2 linked regions of the Bombyx mori genome follow. The main gene of each other region encodes a partner of the protein of the gene in region 2 in a complex. Links are inferred from orthologs where the notes say so. Each region holds a gene or a part of one and is shown on either strand. Other genes may lie near its edges. The genes, in order: solute carrier family 53 member 1 and kinase D-interacting substrate of 220 kDa B.

What was found.
Region 1: the proteins of kinase D-interacting substrate of 220 kDa B (region 2) and solute carrier family 53 member 1 are in contact, whole or in part, in a cryo-EM structure (PDB 9JXQ), measured with the Homo sapiens proteins. The link is inferred for Bombyx mori from reciprocal best matches to the Homo sapiens genes KIDINS220 and XPR1. Residues at the interface, in NP_065789.1 of Homo sapiens: Glu36, Cys37, Gln39, Asp70, Trp72, Met102, Trp105, Trp110, Tyr113, Lys114, Val138, Ile142, Trp143, Gly146, Arg147, Ser166, Asp167, Lys168, Tyr169, Gly170, Trp176, Arg179, Lys180, Gln198, Glu199, Gly200, Ala201, Ser203, Lys234, Arg267; in NP_004727.2 of Homo sapiens: Leu95, Lys189, Lys190, Gln193, Glu197, Ala200, Asn204, Glu205, Ala636, Asp637, Asp638, Leu641, Leu642, Gln644, Met645, Met646, Asp647, Gln648, Asp649, Asp650, Val652, Arg653, Asn654, Arg655.

What each region holds. Positions count from the first base shown.
Region 1 is NC_085132.1:3,534,743-3,539,236, reverse strand, and holds the start of solute carrier family 53 member 1, read right to left. Parts: upstream 3,003-4,494; 5' UTR 2,667-3,002; coding exon 2,598-2,666; intron 1,275-2,597; coding exon 1,121-1,274; intron 535-1,120; coding exon 302-534; intron 1-301. UniProt on the Homo sapiens protein: Inorganic ion transporter that mediates phosphate ion export across plasma membrane.
Region 2 is NC_085116.1:7,173,801-7,178,363, forward strand, and holds the start of kinase D-interacting substrate of 220 kDa B, read right to left. Parts: upstream 2,822-4,563; 5' UTR 2,579-2,821; coding exon 2,282-2,578; intron 1-2,281. UniProt on the Homo sapiens protein: Promotes a prolonged MAP-kinase signaling by neurotrophins through activation of a Rap1-dependent mechanism. Provides a docking site for the CRKL-C3G complex, resulting in Rap1-dependent sustained ERK activation.

The sequences.
Region 1 (4,494 bases), on a different chromosome or scaffold from region 2:
AACAGCCCCACACTGACCACTGTGATTTTTTGTGTCACGGCTATCACTTGACAGACAGACAGCACTTGGAAGAACAAATAATTCGATAAGGAAATTTCCATTTGCTATCGAAACAATAAAACCTTTATCAAGACGTGAAACTTTCAAATGATAAATCATGGTCAGTACGAGACAATGGACTTACTTATCAATCAAAATTTCTGTACCCAATTTGATTTGGAACGATGCGGCTCCTTTCACGGCTATCTCTATCTAGACGTTTCAGGAGGCCAAATAAATCTTATCACTGACCGCCACTGACCTTATCGTGTTTCTTCAATATTTTCCTGAAGCCTGTATAGTTTAAATTCTGATAGTTCTGTAGTAGTATTAAACTTAAATAGAATTCGCTGAATGCAAGTTTCAGTTCTTGGACCTTTCGACGAGGCACCGCAGATTTTTTATCGCCTCCCCCTTTAGTTTTAATTGTGTCGAAATTTGTTTTCAATTCACTTTGGAGTGTCGCGAATTTGCGTGTTGCTTCGGCTAATTTTTCTGGAATGGGGAAGGATGTTCTTTGAATTCGGTTCTCTGCGACATGATTCAGTCAGCCTTGGGGCTAAACTCGTCATTCAATGAAATAACTGACGTAGCTCAAAACGAAGATGAATAGTTATCAATAACAATAATGACGATAACATGATACCAACTTCAAGAATTCAATTATTTTTATTTGGATAAATACCTACTGATAATATTAATGATAAAAAACGCATTTAATTCACCCGATGAAGGTCACAGGCAAGTTATTCTGAGAGCAGACAACTCCCTTTCATGATCAGAAATACACATTTTATAACATATCTAAACTTATTACTGGTGGTAGGACCTCTTGTGAGTCCGCACGGGTAGGTACCACCACCCTGCCTATTTCTGCTGTTAAGCAGTAATGCGTTTCGGTTTGAAGGGCGGGGCAGCAGTTGTAATCTTGTCTGTTGTATACTTGAGACCTTAGAACTTATATCTCAAGGTGGGTGGCGTATTTACGTTGTGGATGTCTATGGACTCTAGTAACCACTCAACACCAGGTAGGCTGTGGGCTTGTCCACCCATCTAAGCAAAAAAAAAAAAAAACACTTACCTGAGTAAAATGTGTTAATTTTCTTTAACTCCTGATCACAATAATGGAAGAATGTCTCATCAAAGTTTGCAAAGTGTCTAGACAACACCTCCGGTTCCACATTTTCAGCTGAAGGAGCCTCCTCGACCGCTGTGTATAACATTGCTTTCATTTCCTGTTATTGTTTTGACACATTTTAAGATTTTTTTTAGATTGTAATGAATGAGATCAGTCCAGTACATTGTACAGTTTTTATAGTAAACCTGGAATAGATTATCTATCTACCAATCTAAGCAAAGCGCTTTGGTTGGGTTTTGTAGTATGTTAAGTAGGATATCTTGTTTCATAACACAGATACTACATTCACAGATGTGCTGACATTGCTGATTTTTATAATCGGTATGACTGTAACAGTAAAAGAGATGCTGAATCTTCTATCTTGACATTAAGACCAAAGCAAATAAGCTGGTCTTTGTACATTTTAACATTCTACATGTTATATTGGAAGCTATAAACTAGATGGGTTGACCAACTCAAGGAGGTGACTGGAGGCCAGATATGGGGAGCGGTACATATGGCGCAGAACCGGACCGAGTGGAGAAGATTGACATACAGTCACGATCCTCAGCATTGAGGGAACGACCAGAAAGAAAGAAGATAAACTTAACAATATACATAGCTGTATGATGTAGGCTGAGAACAACACCACTCCATCATGAAGAAATATTCCTCAATTGAGCATGTTTCAATTGCTAATTGATATTTATTGGTGGTATAGAATATTGTGAGCTAATTTAAAGAGCTCTTAAAATCCATTAGCAAATTAGTTACCTTTGAAATTCAAATCATTTCAACTTAAATGTCATTATAAGATACTCGGTGAATGTCCCAAAATATAACCTAATTTTGAGGAAAACTAAGTAAAGAAACTTATATGTTTTTATCTTCTTCTTTTTTAAAGACACTTAACAAAGAGAAATTATTGTTTTGCCTATTCAGTAATGTAGGCCTACATCAATGTTATTTGATAAGTTCAATTTTTTCAAACATGTTCTCCTAGCTGATTTAAAGACCATAAAATTGAAATCTGACCTTTATTGTAATTTAATTAAAGTTAATTTGTATAGCTAATTTACATTTTTAAATTGCATTTTTAGGAGCATTACTTCATTTTTAGTTTATCCGTACTTTTTTTCATTCAATATCTTCAAAAATTTGTAATACAATTATTACTGGGTAGCTGTGCCAGCATAGTAATTTGATTACTACCACTATATTTAATAATAACTAATACTACAATCTAAAAATTTGCAGAGTACAATGTTTACAAAATATTTTTCAGTTATCACCTCTACTTTAGTTGGAAAAATTAGTCATCTTTTCTTTATAACTCTTATTGATAAAAAATATAGTTGGTAGCATCTTGGTGTTGAAACACGAGATAAGAAATAAATAAAATAATAAGTAATAACAGAAGTACCAAACATTAAGTACTTACTTCATAATTAATATACTGTTTACGCCACTCGGGCGTAATATGAGCACTCAAGTGCTCCGCGAATTTCATTATAAAAATTTAAAGAACACGTCTTTCTAAAACGGAGACTAAATAACACTGAAAACTGTCAACAATAAAATTGTTCAATCAACTAAGTTTGTCTATTGATAAAAAGATAACAACGACCTCAATATATGTACTTTTAACGTATTTATAAAACACTGGAATGATTGTAATGACACACTACAAACTTAGAATAATAAACAGTTTATAATTGTTAGTGAAAACCTGTTCTGTAAGTTGTGTTTTTCTCTTTTGGTTTTACGTAAAACACAAAAATTCAAACGCTTTTGTCAAATACATAGATTACCCAATTAATATTTAACATATATCTAAATCCCTAAGTGTATAATCTATAATTTAGATGCTATCGTTGTTATTTCAGGACTTTTTGGCGGGAACGCGAGGAGTGAAGTTGTGTGATTTGTTTTATTTTGTCTATTTAGTGTTTCTTCAGGTTTAAATGTGTAATAATGGTGGTTTATTAACTGTTTAATATCTGTGAAAGTGCACAAATGTGGGAAAATGAAACAAAGCTGCTGGACGTAACTTCTCAGGTTCCTCCAAAAAGTCCACTGAAAAAATCTCAGTAAATGACCACCATTTTACTGCGATTATATTTCATCCCATATCATTTAATTTCATTAAATTTCATCCCAGTTGATTAATGTCTCAAATTAATCATCTTCATTTCATTTCACTCCATATTATCATTTTTCATAAAATTAAGAATATAAAGTAAAATAAGATATGACTTAAAGGTCTTAGTTACCAGGTCATAAAATCTCTTAAAAAAAAAAAAAGTTGTTATTTCATTTCATATTACCATCGATGAATTTCCACTGATTTGGAATTATGTACAATCGGTTGTTATTATTCTAGAATAATTTTCAACATATTTATGTAGGATTTTTATAACAAGATAAAATACGTTAAGGTATAAATCATCAACACATTCAAATTATTGTTATTTTTGTTGAAGGGAATGTAATTTGATTTGAATTTTTAAAGTAAAAGGAAGATGTACAATTTATGTTAATTTTCAAGTCGTTGAGACTGGTTAAGATAAAAGGAATAAATTTGTTACTTTTTAACAGAAAAGAAATGGTTTTCTGTAAAGTCAGCTTACGGACGATATTTTTAGGTGATAACGTCAGAAACATTAAAAAAAATATTGCATATTTCTAGGAATTGAATTTATTTAATATTACTGAGCTATCATCATTCTGTATAATACAAATAAGTTAATTGAAAATTCAAATTTTTTTCGTTACATTAACACTTGGGCCAATCGTGCTTCTCTATCGCTTGTTCCGTGATTTCGCTTTCACGTTCAGACCCAGACGGAACGTGACACTTTTTCGTGCGTGCAGCCGATGTTCATAGATTTATAAGACGTTACGACGTCAAAATTTGTTTGCTTATGTCTACTTAGATACGAAAAAGATATGGATCTTGCTAATATATTATACGACTATTCATCGATGTCAGTCTACTAGTTGACTTGTAGGCCTTGATGCTTTTAATGTAACTTTGTCAACGACTTATTCAGCATAGATAATACTTAAAATTTTAGGGAGCACGGTGAATAGTTATGTATATGTTTGACCAACCAAAATGAGCACGATTCACAGATCATTCTGAGGTCATTTTTTTACTATATTTAGAGGTGTACGAGATCATGACGGCCATCTAGTGTTAAGTACATATTTTTTTTGGGCCGTGGGCTGAACCTCTTACGAGGTCCCCGTGCCTAGGGGGCGCGAGGGGTATGTGACGATCTGCAAGGTGTTGGGAGCAGACCGCGGGCCCAAGGAATGTTAAGGCTCTACCCACT
Region 2 (4,563 bases):
TAGGTAAATACTTTTTTCTTTTCCTACCTAAGCTGGTAGCCTTGAGAAGCTATTCCAGCGTAACCTTAACTAGTAGGTGAGCTCACGGGGCTCAAACCTGACGACGTTGCTAACACGAACCCTAGCAAGAGCCGTGCTTCGCAGAATCTACCACCGGATCGGAAACGCGACCCACTGAGAACTATGAAGTTGTACTCAATTCGTGAAAATTGTTTGGGAACAATGACATGATAATAATATGTCATATTTATTATAGAAAAACCGAATACATACTATACATGAAATTCCATGACGTGGATTTTTTGCAATATTTAAACTGTAGTTAGTTACACATAATGTGGTTTATTTTACTACTTCCAGATATGACCGTATTTTTATTTGTAATTAGCTGGATTTATTAGATTAAAAAATAAATACCTAAATACATTTATAAAGTAAGTAAATGTAGTTTAAACTTCAGATTGTAAATTCTTTTATAGCAGACTTCAAAAAAGGAGGTTCTCAATTCGACTGTATGTTTTTTTTATGTTTGTTACTTCGTAACTTTTGACTGGGTGAATCGACTTTGATGATTCTTTTTTTATTAGAAAGCTGACGCTTCCCGTGTGATCCAATTTAGTCCAGTTCTGATAATGTTATCCATGAGAAAACCATATAAGTCTTAAATTTGCATTAAGTACGTTCGCGACAAATAGAGGAATAGCTCAATAACTCAATATCACGCCAACCGATTTCTATGATTATTGTTTTTAGTGTATAATATTAATTTGTTTTGGAATATCTTTTTTTTCTACTTGAAGTCGGTTTTTGTACCGACCTGTAAGATATGTTATGCAAAAAAGAATAAAATAAACTCCAAGCAAATTTGAAATAACAAAAACAGCGATCAATTCGTTAATGTATTTATTTCTTAATGTATTTATTTCCCTAACTTTTCACTGGTAGCCTAAGCAGCTATTGCAGCTACAGGCTGACCGGTAGGTAATCTCACGTGATCAACCTGAGAGCTTGCTAACACTGGCAATATATTATGATGAGTAAGTAATAAAGACGCTCTAATGTCACTTGTAGAGGTACTGACATGTAGCAGTCTCAACTGTGGATCTCCGCGATGGAAAAAAAAACAAGTATCTTTTTTAAATACTTCTATTTCCCACGTATAGAGGCTTAAAATGGTGAGACTTAGAAATTAATCTCACTTTCTGAATTTTCTCGCTTATCCAGTTTGGCTATAGGTATGTATGTGGCTGCTTAAAAACCTAATGAACTGCATCTGGAGTTTGTGTGTTGATTCGACATTGATAATGTTTCCAAAAAAGATGACTATGTCATATTTACGTTTACCTGACTCCAAATCATCGAATTTTATTTTTTGTTCATGCATTTGTTTATTTGTTCGTTCGAACATCACGCAAAAATTACTTTGGCAGTTTGATTTTATGTTGGGTTGGAAACTAACATTAGATTTCAAAACGAATATACATTTGGAGTTGGAAGCAAACCACTGGTGTAGTTAAGTAGTTAAGATATGACAAAGATAGAGACAAAATAATAAAAAAAATTCATGTTTATCATACCTACCAATATACACGATCAAGAATTCTTTATTCCAAACATAAGGTTCCTAGAATAGTAACGATCCGCCCTTCTAATGATTAATTTTATAAAGCACATACTCTACATCTATCTAGAACAATATACACTTGAGACCTTGAGAAGGTTTTTTTAAATATAATTTATTATTGACATTGCTCTAAATCATGGTTCTTATTTTATTATTAAGAAATTGAAACTTCGACTTTAAAATTCGATTTTCTCGTAAGTTTCACTTGAAAGTTACAAGGTTTTTTTTTCTGTAGCGCGACAAAAGAGGTCAAGGTGGAAAATAATTACGATTTAACTACAGTGCTACTGAACCTCAATAAAATGTAAACCTTTATCGTTATTGTGCCTTGATGGAAACAGGGGAAATCCTACATAAGTTGAACACACGACAAAACCGTGTCGATGTCGAGTAAACAAAACGAAGTAAAATGATTAGCATATATGGTCAGGTGGTATATTTTCAACATATTTTATACAAACAATAACTTTTGCTTTACTTGAAATCATTGTGTAGTATGCGCAAGGGAATATGATTAATCTAGAAATAATCATACCTGTTTAAGTAGAATAGAACAAGAGTTAAAAAGAGGAGGTTACATGCACACAATATCGGAAGAATTAATGTTGTAAAGTATACACAAATAAAATTTTAACGCTGGTATTATTATATATATACCTCTTGTGCTTTTTGTGTCTCTCCACTCCAAATATCACGCCAGTGGATGAAATTTTGTAAGTGATTGATGTAGTTATGCTGACGATGTTGCGGGTCACGTTTTTTCCGAGAGTCCGTGGGAGAAGGCGGTGCTGTGAGGGATTCACGCCGTCGAGAACCAGCTGATACAATTGTTGATTTTAATTCGTTGCTCAGAAGGCGTTCAGTTTCGGGGCCTTCATCAGACGACACGCTGCCCATGAGTTGTCGCGACGGCCTCGACCCTCGTAAGTCTGACGGGGAATCTTCGTTCTTCATGTTGCCGCAAATCACACAGCACGAACAAAACTAATAACTTTATAGAATAAGTACGGGTGCAAGAGAAAGCTTCAGTACGGTTAACATTTCGCAAGATATCTTGTACTAAACGGAGGTCGTATTGCGAGGCATGAACGTGCGACACGGACGACGCCGGCGGCTGACTGCGGTGTGAGTGCACGTGGGCAACGATCCGATATCATAACATATTCGCCTACTTCAAACCTAAACAGTTCGACTTTTGAAGCCTTATGTAATAATTTTGAGTAATATTTAATACCAAAATCATTGTATATTGGTGCCCTACTGATTTTTTAAAATGTAATGGCATGATATGGAATGATGGCAGTTAATCATTGACCACTTATATTTGTTTTTTAGGAACATGAACAGAATGAAAACAAAACACATTTTCTTTGAAGACTTCAGGTTCTGTGACGGATTATCATTGATTATGTATATAATCTACTGTTGCCTTACTAGTCTCTTGATACAATGTTTTCAATGGAATGTAAGTGTATTTCTGGAAATTATTTTTATGCATAAATTATGAAATTTAAATTAACCTTTAATTTTTAATGAAGTAATTTTTAATTTTCGATTAAATTATGATTTCTATGGTAGATACTAGTTACACACTGAAATTCGTTAAGCCAGTTTTTGAGAAATAATCATTTCATTATTTTCTATTAAAGAGAGAATCTGTTGTGGAAGGTGGTTGAAAACAAATAGTAGGTAGTGTAATTAATAAGTCTGGTAGATCATCAAACCAGGTTTTATCCATCCTTATTTTTATAAAAATAATAACTGTCTTATACTTGAAAATACTAATATTTTTTTAAAAAAGTAATTCAATATAGTATTTATGATAACATGCATATTGTCACCAATTTCAAAGAAAAATAATCTATAACATAACTTTGAAAATATTTTAAATTTATTTTATATCTCTTCATTAATTTTGCTCAAAATAAAAATAGATATAGATATTGTTCTTTTAACCATCATGTTCCTGGGTCGTTTTATTATATGAATTATTAAGTGAACTATTATGGCCTATTGTGAGCCTAAACATATAAGTGCCACCTTGCTGCTTATTTCTGCATTAACAAGGTATACATTTAAGTCTGAAGCAACTAAAGCTCCAATGAAAAATAGAAAAGTGAGAAAAAAGAAGCAATTCAAGTTAGACTCCATGTCTCAAGTAATATCTAAAAGATCTGGTAAACAATTTAGTGGGTATAAGGTACACATCAAGATTTATAAAAAAATTATGTCTTGAAGGTGTAATTTATGGACTTATAATAATTTATATCCATGAACGAAAAATTCAAAGATATACAGACAGTTATATGAAACATTAACATTCTTTTAGCTAAAAGAATGTTAATGTAATCTTAATGCTTAAAAAATTTTTTTTTTTCTTAAGTTATAGGCATCATAACTATATATTAAGAATATGGTTATGGGTTATCTTGACAATTCAATCAGTAACAAAACTAAGAAGAATTGTAAAGTAACCAGGGCAAGAATTTACAAAATCTATGAATTTGAAGTGGAGTTTTTTGTTTTGTTTTATATGAGTTTTATAAATTATTTTATAAATGACAACCCTTTAAACTTTAATGTCCTGTCTCAAAAGTCACAAAATTTTAAAGATAACAAAATAGATACAATATTCTATTTAATAATTATATAAATAAATAAATAATATTAAGATACAAACATTTTTGTCTTTTGAAATCACAAAAATACCAATACTTTATAATTTAAAGCTATGGTTTGTTGAAAATTCAAGCAATGAGGAAATTTATTGGAATGACATTCATTTAAAAAGAAGTCCTGTAGTTGCTAAAGCAAAATAATTTTGCGCATCGGTTATGTTTCTATTCAATTCAATTATGCTGTTTTATTAACTGGAATTTTATCTACACACTAAACGGTAAGAAAATTAGTTTTCGATTAATTTAATTAACAATATTTTA